Macaca mulatta: one gene and its partner. The protein of the gene in region 1 purifies or fractionates together with the protein of each later gene. This does not show direct contact. Links are inferred from orthologs where the notes say so. Each region holds a gene or a part of one and is shown on either strand. Other genes may lie near its edges. The genes, in order: AFG2B and TIMM13.

Region 1 (6,847 bases):
AGACATAAACTTTTCTAACCTAGGAGAAGATTGGGCACTTGGAATTGTATTTAAATTTGTCCTTGACCTGCAGGTCTGTAATTCATGACTACCTTTCCTAACAATATTTAAGATATTAGATTAAATATAATACTTTTTAACATTGTTGGTTGGAAAATCCAGTATTTTGTATATAATAAATAGTCCTGAATCCTTAAACCTGTTCAGGAAAAAACTGATTTCAGCAGGCTAAGGATTCTGAAACAGAGTTTTCAATCTCATTTGTGACATCAAAATTGTCTTTTCATCTTAAAATGCGAAAGGATGATTTGTTATCCTAAATTTTGAAAAGCCTTTTTACCTAAATAATTTATACCTTGCCTCATTTCCTTTCCTTTATTTCTACGGTTACAGCGAAGGTGGGGAGGAGTTATGTGATCTTCTAGTGATCTTTTAAGTCTTCATCTTGTAGGTTTAGGCCAAAACTGCTTGAAGTTTTAAAGTTCTGTGTGTAAAGGTGTGAGAATACATGTCTTTTGAGGGAGACAATAAAAGTAAGCAGGAGATGGGAAGGGAGATTTTCATTTAGGATTTCCTCTGCTTTGAAGTTCCAGGTTTGACCGTAAGCACCTCTGACTTAGGTGGCCCAGTCAGCTGCTGTTGTCCCAGGGTGGAGCCCACTGCTACTTCAGGAGGGGCCTGCTCAGGTGTAGTTACCACAGTTGATGGCTGAGTTCAGAAACAACCAAGGGGAAGTGGAAGGAAGAAAGGCAAAAAGGATGAAGGGACAGAGACAACTGGGAAGGTACTGGCTCCGTCTTTTATTCTTTCCCCCACCAGCTGAGGGGCTTCCCCTACCTCTACCTATGCCAGGGCAGATAAGGGATACCTTACAGTTTGTTAAACTTTTTGTGAACTATTCCTATTAAAGGATTAGAAATGTAGTTTAACACTCACACATACACAGAGGGGAAAGAATGTATATGCCCAAAGAATCAAGTAAAATAATGTGTACACACATGATCTGGAACTATAAATGAGATTTTCAAATACTAGTTGGTGTTACCTAAAGATTAGTTAGTATTTGGACATCAGACACCTAACATCTGATACTGTCAGCCAGTTAAAAAGGCTATTTTTTTAAGTATGTGATAGTGTTATTCATGAGAAATGAAGATAGAAAATTATAAAGAACTGCCTACCTGAAATGTCACTTTCCAGAGATGACAATTGTTAACACTTTTGGGAGAATACGGAATAGCTCTATACATACAGATTCACTTCACATCAGTTCACAAATAAGACAAGACAGTTTGTTTATGAAAATGGGAATCTGTGGACAACTAGATGTTTAGAATTAGATATAAGAGGGCAAATACTTTAATAAATACAGTACAGACATTTTTAATAAAATTTTGAGGACTTTTTAACTAACAAAAATGTGTTTCACTAGAATGATCAAGGAGAGTGTAAAAAGTCTCCAAAATATAAGCTGAGAGTGAAGATGACTTTTCTAGGCATAACATAAACCCTAAGGGAAATTATTTGCTGATTTGACCATTTGGGGGTGGCAAACAATACTATAAAGTCAGACTAGGAAAAATACTTTTAGTCCAATTTCTGTGATTTGGAAAGAACTTTTACAAATCAGTGAGAATAGACCAACAGTCCAAGAGAAAATGGGTAATAGGATATGAACAGGTAGTTGACAATAAAAGGAATGTCAGTAAACACGAAAAATCTTCAACCTTGATTTCTTTTAAAATTATTGTCTTTATTTTGAAATAATTTAAAACATATAGTAAAGTTGCAAGATAGTTACAAAGAACTTCCACTAAACCTTTTATCCAAATTCACCAATTTTTAACATTTTGCCAAATAAGCTTTATCATTCTCTTTTGCTGTCTTTCTTGCTCCCTCTCGTCCTCTTCTCTTTCTCTCTCTCATCTCTGTATATATATATTTATATGCACATAGTATTTATTTATTTTGGACCATTTGAGAGAATGGGTTGCATATATCATAACATTTTATCCCTTAACATTTTAATGTCTATTTCCTAAGGACAGCAATGTTCCTGTATGTCACCACAGTATGGTCATGTATAGTATTGTATCCTTAGAGCCTCACATGTGGAGGCACAAGGTGTTCATTGGTTCCTCATTGGTGATGCTAATTTTTGTCAGCTAGTTCAGGTGGTGTGCAGTTTCTCCACTGTGTAACTGCTGTTTTTTCCCTTTGCCACTAATGAGAAATCTATGGGGAGACACTTGGAGATATCCTGCTCCTCATCAAACTTTCAGGCTGGGCGCAGTGGCTTATGCCTGTAGTCCCAGCTGCTCGGGAGGCTGAGACAGGAGGATCACTTGAACCCAGGTGTTCGAGGCTCAGTGAGCTGTTGCCTCAATGCCACTGCATTCCAGCCTGGGCAGCAGAGCAAGACCCTGTCTCATAAAAGAATAAACTCCCCTCAATGTAGCATCCAATTCTTGCTCATAACAGCCTTTAATATCATGATTGCAAAAAAGGCAATTTTTCTAATTCCAGTATTCCCTCTACCTCATTCTGAATTGAAGAAATTTAGTTAACACACTAATGAATGAGTACTGGTTCTTCTGTCATATTGGCAGACACTTAAGAGTTTGGTAATTGGCCAGGCACAGTAGCTCGTGTCTATAATCCCAGTACTTTGGGAGGCTGAGATAGGTGGGTCACTTGAGGTCAGGAGTTCAAGACCAGCCTGGCCAACATGGGAAAACCCCATCTCTACTAAAAATACAAAAATTAGCCAGGTGTGGTGGCGCATGCCTGTAAATCCCAGCTACTTGGTAGGCTGAGGCATGAGAATCACTTGAACCCAGGAGGTGGAGGCTGCAGGGAGCCAAGATCACAGCACTGCACTCCAGCCTGAGTGACAGAACGAGACTCCGCAAAAAAAAAAAAAAAAAAGAGAGAGAGAGAGTTTGTTAATGTCCAGTATTGGAGAGGTGTGGAGAGAACACAGCTTCATTTTATTGAAGGAGAGTAAATTGATACAGCTTCCTTAGAGAACAATTTGGTAATAGCTGTCAATGTATATGTGTGTACTTATAAACCCAGTAATTCTACTTTGAGGAAATTATTACATAAAATACTTGAACATGAGTTTGAACATAGTGGCTCATGCCTGTAATCCCAGGACTTTGGGAGGCTGAGATGGGAGGATTGCCCGAGCCCACGAGTTCCAGACCAGCCTGGGCAACATAGGGAGACCCCGTCTGTACCCAAAAAAAAAAATTTTATTTTTTGGCCAGGCGTGGTGGTTCACGCCTGTAATACAGCACTTTGGGAGGCTGAGGCGGGCGGATCACGAGGTCAGGAGATCGAGACCATTCTGGCTAACACGGTAAAACCTTAACTCTACTAAAAATACAAAAAATTAGCCAGGCGTGGTGGTGGGTGCCTGTAGTCCCAGCTACCCAGGAGGCTGAGGCAGGAGAATGGCGTGAACCCAGGAGGCAGAGCTTGCAGTGAGCCGAGATTGCACCACTGCACTCCAGCCTGGGCAACAGAGCGAGACTCCGTCTCAAAAAAAAAAAAATTAATTAATTAACCAGGCTTGGTGGCACACACCTGTAGTTCTAGCTCCTCCAGAGGGTGAGTTGCAAGGATTACTTGAGCCTGGGAGACTGCAGTGAGCTATGATAATGTCACTGCATTCCAGCCTGGGCAACAGAGTGAGACCCTGTCTCAAACAAATACTTGAACATGAGCAAGGAGACTTTTTCAGTTGCAGCTTTGTTTTTAATATCAAAAGACTGGGGATGACCTAATGTTTGTCAGAAAGGTGTAGTTGGGGTAAATTCAGTAGTGTATTATGGAATTGTCAAAAAGAATGACGTAGAACTATATTAGTTGACATGAAAAGATATATATTAGTTGACATGAAAAGAACTATATTAGTTGACATGAAAAGGTGAAAGAAGAAAAGTACAGGTTGATATAGTATGGTTCTATTTGTGTATCTGTTTAAAAGGATATTTGTATGCTTATTATCATAACATACTGGAAGAATCACAAGAAACTGTTGACATCTTTCAGGGAAGAATTAACTGGCGGGAATTGGCAGGGAGACATTTATTCTTTGTACTATTTATATAAATTGTTTTTATAATAATAACAAAATTACAAATCCAAAAGAAGATTTAAAAAACGAATTGTGCTATAAAAAAAGACCAACCTAATTTTTGGTTTAATTTTGATGTTTTGGGTGTATTTCTTCAGAACCAGGACGATCCTGTGATTGATGAAACAGACTTCCTTGAAGCTTTTAAAAATATTCAACCCTCATCGTTTCGAAGCGTCATTGGATTGATGGATATCAAGCCTGTTGACTGGGAGCAGATTGGTGGCCTTGAAGATGTAAAACTGAAGTTAAAACAGGTAAGACAGATAATCTACTTAATCCAGTAGGATATTACAGATTAACATTCTGTGCATTTATGATGACAACATACTGCACTGAAACTACTCTTTCTGCTATCACTAATGTGATCCTAACATCTAAATCCAATGATTGCTTTTCAGTCCTTATTTAACTGGACTTCTATGGATGTCTAAATTGGTTTTTATAATTTCCCACCTCGACCCTCTCTTTTTTTGTTTTTGCTTTAAAGAGTTTATAACCTAAGGCTGGGTGTGGTGGCTCATGTCTATAATCCCAACACTTTGGGAGGCCAAGGGAGGAGGATTGCTTGAGTTCAGGAGTTCAAAACCAGCCTGGGCAACATAGCAAGCCCTTGTCTCTATTTAAAAAGAAAGAAGTTCATGGCCGGGCGCGGTGGCTCAAGCCTGTAATCCCAGCACTTTGGGAGGCCGAGACGGGCGGATCATGAGGTCAGGAGATCAAGACCATCCTGGCTGACACGGTGAAACCCCATCTCTACTAAAAAATACAAAAAACTAGCCGGGCGAGGTGGCGGGCGCCTGTAGTCCCAGATACTCGGGAGGCTGAGGCAGGAGAATGGCGTGAACCCGGGATGTGGAGCTTGCAGTGAGCCGAGATCTGGCCACTGCACTCCAGCCTGGGCGGCAGAGCGAGACTCCGTCTCAAAAAAAAAAAAAAAAAAAAAAAAAAAAAGAAGAAGTTCATAACCTAAGGCTGGGCATGGTAACTCATACCTGTAATCCCAGCATTTTGGGAGGCTGAGGCGGGTGGATCACCTGAGGTCAGGAGTTCAAGACCAGCCTGGCCAACATGGTGAAACCTTGTCTCTACTAAAAATACAAAAATTAGCTGGGCATGCTGGCAGGTGCCCATAATGCCAGCTACTTGGGAGGCTGAAGCAGGAGAATCACTTGAACCTGGGAGGCGGAGGTTGCAGTGAGCCGAGATCCCACCACTGTACTTCAGCCTGGGTGACAGAGAAAGACCCTGTCTGGGGAGAAAAAAACAAAGTGTGTAACCTGTAGTCTTAGCACTTCAGAAGGTCGAGACAGGAGGATCTCTTGAGGCCAAGAATTCAAGACCAGACTGGGCAACATAGTAAGACTCCCTGTCTCTACAAAAAAAATTTTTTTTGAGACATGGTTGCTCTGTCACCCATGCTAGAGTATGGTGTCACAAACACAGCTCACTGTACCCTTGAATTCCTGGGCTCAAGCAGTCCTTCTGCCTCAGCCCCCCAAGTAGCTGGGACTGCAGGTGCATACCACCACGCCTGGCTAATTTTTAAATTTTTTGTAGAGATAGGGTCCCACTGTGCTACTCAAGCTGGCCTTGAACTCCTGGGCTTAAACAGTCCTCCAACTCGGCCTTCTAAAGTGCTAGGATTATAGGCATGAGCCACCATGCCTGGCCTACAAAAAAATTTTTTAAATTAGCCAGGTGTGGTGGCACTGCTTGTGTTCCTAGCTACTCAGGAGGATCACTTGAGCCTTGACCCCAGGAGATGGAGGCTGCAGTGAGCTATGATTGCACCACTGCACTGCAGCTTGGGCAACAGAGTGAGATCCTGTGTCTTTAAAAAAATATAAAAAAAAATTTTGGCTGGGCACGGTGGCTCATGCCTGTAATCCCAGCACTTTGGGAGGCTGAGGCAGGCAGATCACCTGAGGTCAGGAGTTAGAAACCAGCCTGGCTAACGTGGAGAAACCCCGTTTCTACTAAAAATGCAAAAAATTAGCCAGGCATGGTGGCGCGTGTCTCTAATCCCAGCTACTCGGGAGGCTGAGGCAGGAGAATTGCTTGAACCCGGGAGGTGTAGGTTGCAGTGAGCCAAGATTGCACCACTGCACTCCAACTTGGGCAACAAAAGTGAAACTCCATCTCAAAAAAACAAAAACAATGTATAGGCCGGGCGCAGTGGCTCACACCTATAATCCCAGCACTTTGGGAGGCTGAGGCGGGAGGATCACGAAGTCAGGAGTTCAAGACCAGCGTGGCTAACATGATGAAACCCTGTCTCTACTAAAAATACAAAAATCAGCCTGGTGTGGTGACGCAATCCTGTAATCCCAGCTACTCGGGAGGCTGAGGCAGGAGAATCGCTTGAACCCAAGAGGCAGAGGTTGCAGTGAGCTGAGATCGCACCACTGCACTCCAGCCTAGGACAGAGTAAGACTCCATCTCAAAAAAAAAAAAAAGAAAAATCAATTTATAATCTAAAACGGGTCAGCAAATTTTCTGTAGAGAGAGCCACACAGTAAATGTTTTAAACTTCACAACCACTCATCTCTGCCATTGTAGCACCAAAGCAGCTGTAGACCATATGTAAATGAGTAACTGTATTCTGATAAAATTATGGACACTGAAATTATATAATTCTCACATGTCAGAAAATATTCTTTTGATTTTTCTTCAAGCATTTAAAAATGTAAAAATTCTTCT
Region 2 (6,612 bases), on another chromosome or scaffold:
AAGCCCACGGGGACATTGGGGTCACTTCTTTCCCCAGCCCTCGCCCCTGGCACTTAGCTCCAGCCCCCGCAAAGCCCGCCCAGTAGAAAGCTGTCCTCCCCAGGGCCCAAGCCCTGGCAGGAGAGGGGTACGGTATTCCAGAGGGGACACCCAGCTCCGGGCCCTGCGGGGCTCGAGGTCAGAAGGGGAGCGGGGGGCGGACCCTCACGTCCACCAGTATTTTCAGAGCGCTAATATTAGGTGGTGATGACTGCAATCCTTGGTGCTGCCTCGGTGCCTGGTGGGGGACACTGAGCCCATTCCCAGACTGGCAGCCAGAGACCAAGAGGCCAAGAACCCTGGTCGGCCCCTGGGGGACACCGCAGGGGCAGGGGCCGGGGGCGCGGGGGCTCTGGCCGACGCCTGTCCTCGCGCGCCCTCCAGCTACGGGGACCCCAAGCAGTGGGCAGCCTTCCTAGGCACGCCGTTCCTGAGCGGCGCGGAGGGGCAGCTGGAGCGCGTGGCGCGCATCTACAAGCACCCGTTCTACAATCTCTACACGCTCGACTACGACGTGGCGCTGCTGGAGCTGGCGGGGCCGGTGCGCCGCAGCCGCCTGGTGCGTCCCATCTGCCTGCCCGAGCCCGTGCCGCGACCCCCAGACGGTGCGCGCTGCGTCATCACCGGCTGGGGCTCGGTGCGCGAAGGAGGTAGGCGCGCCCGGGGCCGGGGTGGTGCGGGGTGCAGGGCAGCAGCCGGAAGGGGTCCCCACCCGCCCCATCTCGCTCGTCCGCAGGCTCCATGGCGCGGCAGCTGCAGAAGGCGGCCGTGCGCCTCCTCAGCGAGCAGACCTGCCGCCGCTTCTACCCGGTGCAGATCAGCAGCCGCATGCTGTGTGCCGGCTTCCCGCAGGGCGGCGTGGACAGCTGCTCGGTGAGCCTCGGCCCGGCCTGGGCGACCAGGGGCCCAGGTCCCGCCCAGCCGCCGGGGAGGGAGGGTTCCCGCTGCCACGAAGCCCACCGTCCGGGCGCCACGCTCCGGTGCAGACTTCTCCAGAGGATCAGGCAGGGGGCCTTTTTGGCTCTGGAGGAATTTCCACTCCACAACCGTTTATTGGGTACCCACCGCATCCCACCCCTGGGCCTCAACGGCAGAGCAGGCAGAGGCTGCAGCGGGAGGCCCCATTCCACTCCGGGACCACGTGGCGGGTGTCCATCAATGTCTGCCACCTTTGCATTGAGCCCATTTTCCAGATAGTGAAAATGCAGCTTCCAAGGGAAGCCACTCACTACGGTCACCCCTACGGGGGCCAATGACCCAAGGGCTGCTGTAGGGGAGGTACCAGACTCTGAACCCCCGCTTCTCTCCCCATCAGGGTGACGCTGGGGGACCCCTGGCCTGCAGGGAGCCGTCTGGACGATGGGTGCTAACTGGGGTCACCAGCTGGGGCTATGGCTGCGGCCGGCCCCACTTCCCAGGTGTCTATACCCGGGTGGCAGCTGTGAGAGGCTGGATAGGACAGCACATCCAGGAGTGACCGCCACGTGATTGCCCAGGCCGGGACTCTAGGAGAAAGCAGCAGGAGCAGCAGGCCACCCAACACCCCACCTCACTGTACCCTACCCAAGGACGGGAGTGGGGGGGGGGCTGTGGGTCATGGGGATGCATTTTGGTAGCACCCTTTGTTCCAATAAACACAACTGCTCCACCCCGGCTCACTGGCTCAGCACCTCAGTGTCACAGCGCGGACCACCTGCCTGGCGCTCCAACAGGACCCGGGTGGAAGGAAGAGGAGTCAAAGCAAGCCTGGACAAGGGGAGGGCTGTCCCCCTTAGCCTTTGGGACAGGGGTGGTGGCAACAACACATTCCTCGTGACTCAGCAGCCCGGTGGCACTTAAGGGGAAAGATGGACTTCTCCCAACCCAGGAGAGGCTGAGACCCTCCGAACTGGGGTTCCAGGGACACGCGTCAACTCTTCCCAGAGATCCCTCAGGAGGGAAATAAAGAGGTTTCTCTCCGCCCTCCACCAATTTATTTGCCCATCCGCAGGAGGTGACAGCTCCGGTGGGGTCTGACCACCCCCACCTCCAAAGTCCAGACAAGAGTTCTCCGCCCAAAAAATATGAGGCTGACCTGGGCCCACTAGGGGAAGACCCCAAAGGCCTGAAGGAGGTGCCACTGGGCTGCCAGCACTTTGGGAAGGCACAGGGCCCCCCCACCCCCGAGATCCAAGCTGCACTGGCTGGCAGGGGGCAAGGCGGGGGGTGGCGAGGACACAGTCCCGTCTGTCCCAGCACCGGTGCCACCCCGCTAAGCCCCGGGCAGGCAGTACGCACATGCGGGCCCCGCCTCTCAGAGCACGTTTGTGGAAATGAACGGGGCGGGGCGGCCCACGGGCTTGCCAGTCACATGTTGGCTCGTTCCCGCTGCAGCCGCGAGTTGTAGGCGCGGGACACGGTGTTCCAGGCGTCCATGTAGCGGTCCATGCACATAGCGATGCACTTCTGCGGGACCGGAGGGGCGCACGGCTCAGCTCGGGACCTCGCGCCCCCGGGGACCTCCCTCACCCCGGATGCAGGCCGCCCGGGCTGCAGAGTGCACGCGTGCGGTAGCCACTCCGCCGCGCCGCCTCGTTAGTCTGCGCACGCGCAGACGCCTCCCCCCCGAATCCAGACCCTCGCGACCCTTGCCCCGAACCTCTGCGGGTCTCACCTGCTCGGAGTTGTCCAGAGAGCCCCCAGGTTTCCCGATACACTTCCGGAAACACTTGTCCGTCATCCTCTGTGGAGACACGCGAAGCTTTAGCCGCGACGTCCGCCCCCAGGGGTGGCCCTGTCGCCCCAGCGCCCGTCCCCGGCCGGCCCCGCACCTGCAGCAGCTCCTGCGCGTTGGCCACGGCGATCTGCACCTTCACCTGCTCCATTATGAGCCCTGGGTCCAGCTTTCCGCTGCTGGAGCCCCCGAAATCGGAGCCGAAGCCGCCCTCCATGGCTCCGCAAAGTCAACCGGACCGAGGCCGCGTGCGCCGACCCGTAGCTGCGCCGGAAGCGGGCCTCCCGGGGCACCACGGGAAACGGAGTCCACGTGGGCGGGGACGGAAGACTACAACTCCCACAAGACCGCGCGCGCCCGGGCCATTCCAGGTCGCGCGGGGGGCCCTCTGGTCACGCGCCGGCCTGGACCTGCCGTTACCTACAGAAGCCGTGGTTGCGACTCTGCGGGAAGGCGGCCGACTTCGCCCGGGGAGTGGGGGGGGCCACTGCGTGCGGCCGAAGCCGATCACTTTGTACACAGGATCGGTCTCCGGCTCGTCCCACCCAGAGGCCTGCCGCGCATGCGCACGAGGCAGCCGGCGCGTCTATATGACGTGTTGCTGCCGGGGCGGAGCCCGGTCTCATCACATGATGAATGATGAAGAGTCCACTGGTGCTACAGCGTCGGAGGCTCACTAGAAAAAACGGGCAGGGTCTCATGCATCACCTGGGGCCTGTGTATACTCGCCAGTCACCTTTTCCTTGAGGGTGGAGGGTTTTAGACATCCGCTTCATTGGGGACAGAGGCCCCGGCTCGAGCTTCCCCGCGCAGGAATAAACTCAAGAGACAGAACCTAAAATCAAAATGTTTATTGGAGTGTTGTACAAAAGTTTCCAGTCATAAAATGTATATTACAAATCATTGGAAAAAAAAAAAAAAAAGAACACCACATTTGGCATGCATCTTCTTAAAAACCGAATCTCGGAAATGAAAGTCCATGCCAGCCCCAAGGCTACAGCCCAGCTCCGTTTGCAGGTTGTGCTGTGACGCTCGCTGGACGCAGGGCTTGGAAGACGCTGCAGGCGGCGACGCCCCAGGACTGAGTCCCTTGGATCTTTAACAAGGAACTGCCCCGTGCAGGCCTCAGACCAACCCCAGCCAAAGCCGCTGGCATGAGGACAGGTGCATGATCGGATTCTGGGTCAGCCCGCAGGCCTCCTGGCTCCTGGGCTCAGCGGGGCAGGCTTCCGCGTTAACCTTGGGCTGTGCACCCCAGAACCCGCGTTGGTCCAGCAGCCGTGGGCCTCCCCCCAGGGCTGGGCGGCGTCTGATGCTTCGCAGGGAGGGCGCTAGGCTTGGAGTCACAGCATGGGCTTACACAGAGGGATGGTTTCGCATCGTTCTAAGCGGCACACAGCTAAGCGTATTTGGGGACAAATGCAAATTGTTTCCCAGGCCATAAATAACTTCTAAAACTTTGATTTTCTTAGTGTTTCCAAAGACTCAATTCTCAATGAACCTCCAATCACCCACAGGATGCACAGTCCACACCTCTCCCCACTCCCTTCAGCTAAGGGCACCTGCAGTCCTAGGACCACCCTCAGCCTCCACCCAAGGCAAATGTAGGGCGGGGGGTTCTGTGGACCTGGGGCGTGCTGTGTTCAGGACAGGGCTGGGCAGTGTCTGGACACCAGGACCTGCCGGTTTTGGGGGGGGGACTTTGTCCCTGAGCCCAGCCTGTGAAGCTGTCAGCAAATTGCAGACCAACTCCAGGATACAGCTTTGCTCCCCCAGGCCCAAAATACGTAGGATGTGGCTGAGACCACTGCATACTCTGCACAGGACAAGACCACCAAGACCCACCCCCGGAACACTCGCTGGCACGAAGCCTGGCCACTGGAGTCCAGGTGACTCCTGCCATGAAGGTGGGGAAGAGGAGTCTGTCGCCAGCACTCCCACTTCCAGCGGCTGGCAGAGGGTATCCCTGGGGTGGGCAAAGCTCCCCACCAGCCACCTGACTGGGAGCACAGCGTGGTAGCCTGTCGGGCCCCTCCAGGAGGAAATGCTTTGGTAAGACACGCCCCCCTTGATCCACATGGGACAGGGACTTCTTTTTTTTTTTTTTTTTTTTTTTTTGAGACGGAGTCTCGCTCTGTGGCCCAGGCTGGAGTGCAGTGGCCGGATCTCAGCTCACTGCAAGCTCCGCCTCCCGGGTTCACGCCATTCTCCTGCCTCAGCCTCCCGAGTAGCTGGGACTACAGGCGCCCGCCGCCTCGCCCGGCTAGTTTTTTGTATTTTTTAGTAGAGACGGGGTTTCACCGTGTTAGCCAGAATGGTCTCGATCTCCTGACCTCGTGATCCGCCCGTCTCGGCCTCCCAAAGTGCTGGGATTACAGGCGTGAGCCACCGCGCCCAGCCGGGACAGGGACTTCTGAGAGCAAGGACAGCGAGCGGGGGCTACATGGAGCAGCGGGTGTTTCTGCTTTGTCAGCCGCTGGCTACTTCCCGGCCTGGGGCTGGGGACCCCCATTCCTTCCTCCCACTGGCAAGTCCCCAGGGAGACGGGATGCACAGTGACAGGGGAGCAGTGCCGCCCCCAACCTGCCAAGGCCTGGAGACGGCGCGTGCCAACGGCTCAGTTTTGGTGGCTTTAAGACTCGAGCTGCACTTTCTGAAGGAGGCTTTGCTGTCAGAGTGACCCCCAGTCCCACACCACCCCGGGGAGGAGAGTCAGCCTGTCCTCAAGGCCCTGGCGTGAGCTCCTGACCTGCGTACTGACTAATGTAAAAAAATAAATATCCATTAAAAAAATAACTTCTGTGTATCTATGAGGGAGGGTGTAAACGGTGAGCTATTGCCAAAGGGGGTGCCAGGCGTTGGGAAGCTGGACTGAGGGGCTTGGGGGCGTCGTGATAGGAGTCAGGTGGCCTTGGCCTATCTGAGAAACATGGCTTCAGCGAGAGAATCACAGATGAAAGTTACAGTATGGATAGATAGATGCGTGTGTGTATCTAGGCACAGGGCAGAAGGAGCCGGAACCCGGGAGGGGCTCCACAGCGCTCTCCTCCAGGGAGTCCACATGGTGGCGTTCCCTGCAGACAGCTGTTCTGAAACTCACAGCCTCTGCCTCCGAGGCAACCAGCTGTGTCCCCTCCCTGCTTAATGTGACAGGTCTTAACAACGGGACTGTCCTCATTCTCCCTTCCCCGGGTCTTCCCCTCCCCTGCCCTGTTGGCCCTGCAGAGTCAGGAACTGACCTGAGGGAAAACTCCCCCAAATAAAGTCAACGGTCCGAGAAACCCGGCCAGTGGGCTGTCAGAACGGCAATCTGGAAGCCCAGGCAGCGGAGCGAAAACCCACCCTGGGGGCCATGCCACCCCCACGCTGCTCCACACCCACTGCGTGGCTGCCTGAGGAGCTCCAGCTGTCAGAAGCTGGGCAGCCAGAATGCAGGCTTGGCCCCCGGCCCCACCAGGTCGACGCCTGGATTCTGAATTTGGTTTTGTAGAAAGCCTTCAAAAAACCCACCACCACTGAATTCCTACGCGGTTTCCGCGCTCTGTCCGCATCGGGGCCGTCTCCTGTCCCCGCTCTAGCCTCGCCGGCCCTCCTCCCTCCAAGCCCGAGCATCTTCTAAACCTCGGGGTCCTGGCCCTGGGCTTCCAATTTGACCAAATGGTGAGATGGGGAGTGGGGTGGGACTGAAAAGTCTCCGGGGCAGCGGTGAAGTGGCAGCGAAGTGAGGCTGGAGGATACCCACCCACACGTTCTGGCAGTTTGCTTAGAAATTCTCTAGAAATGTATCAAGAACTAAAGAAAGCCAATGATATAAAAATAGTTTTCAGTGGCTCTGGGTAAAGAAAGGTGTGTGGATGAGG

The links.
Region 2: the proteins of AFG2B (region 1) and TIMM13 purify together in Homo sapiens (co-immunoprecipitation; 3 studies listed by BioGRID and IntAct, with this or other methods). This does not show direct contact. The link is inferred for Macaca mulatta from reciprocal best matches to the Homo sapiens genes AFG2B and TIMM13.

What each region holds. Positions count from the first base shown.
Region 1 is NC_133412.1:22,720,707-22,727,553, forward strand, and holds part of AFG2B (ATPase family gene 2 protein homolog B), read left to right. Parts: intron 1-4,242; coding exon 4,243-4,401; intron 4,402-6,847. UniProt on the Homo sapiens protein: ATP-dependent chaperone part of the 55LCC heterohexameric ATPase complex which is chromatin-associated and promotes replisome proteostasis to maintain replication fork progression and genome stability.
Region 2 is NC_133424.1:3,172,186-3,178,797, forward strand, and holds TIMM13 (mitochondrial import inner membrane translocase subunit Tim13), read right to left. Parts: upstream 3,155-6,612; 5' UTR 2,970-3,154; coding exon 2,850-2,969; intron 2,762-2,849; coding exon 2,693-2,761; intron 2,485-2,692; coding exon 2,386-2,484; 3' UTR 1,761-2,385; downstream 1-1,760. Other genes in the region: TMPRSS9 (transmembrane protease serine 9), read left to right, coding at 424-689, 776-912, 1,355-1,516. UniProt on the Homo sapiens protein: Mitochondrial intermembrane chaperone that participates in the import and insertion of some multi-pass transmembrane proteins into the mitochondrial inner membrane.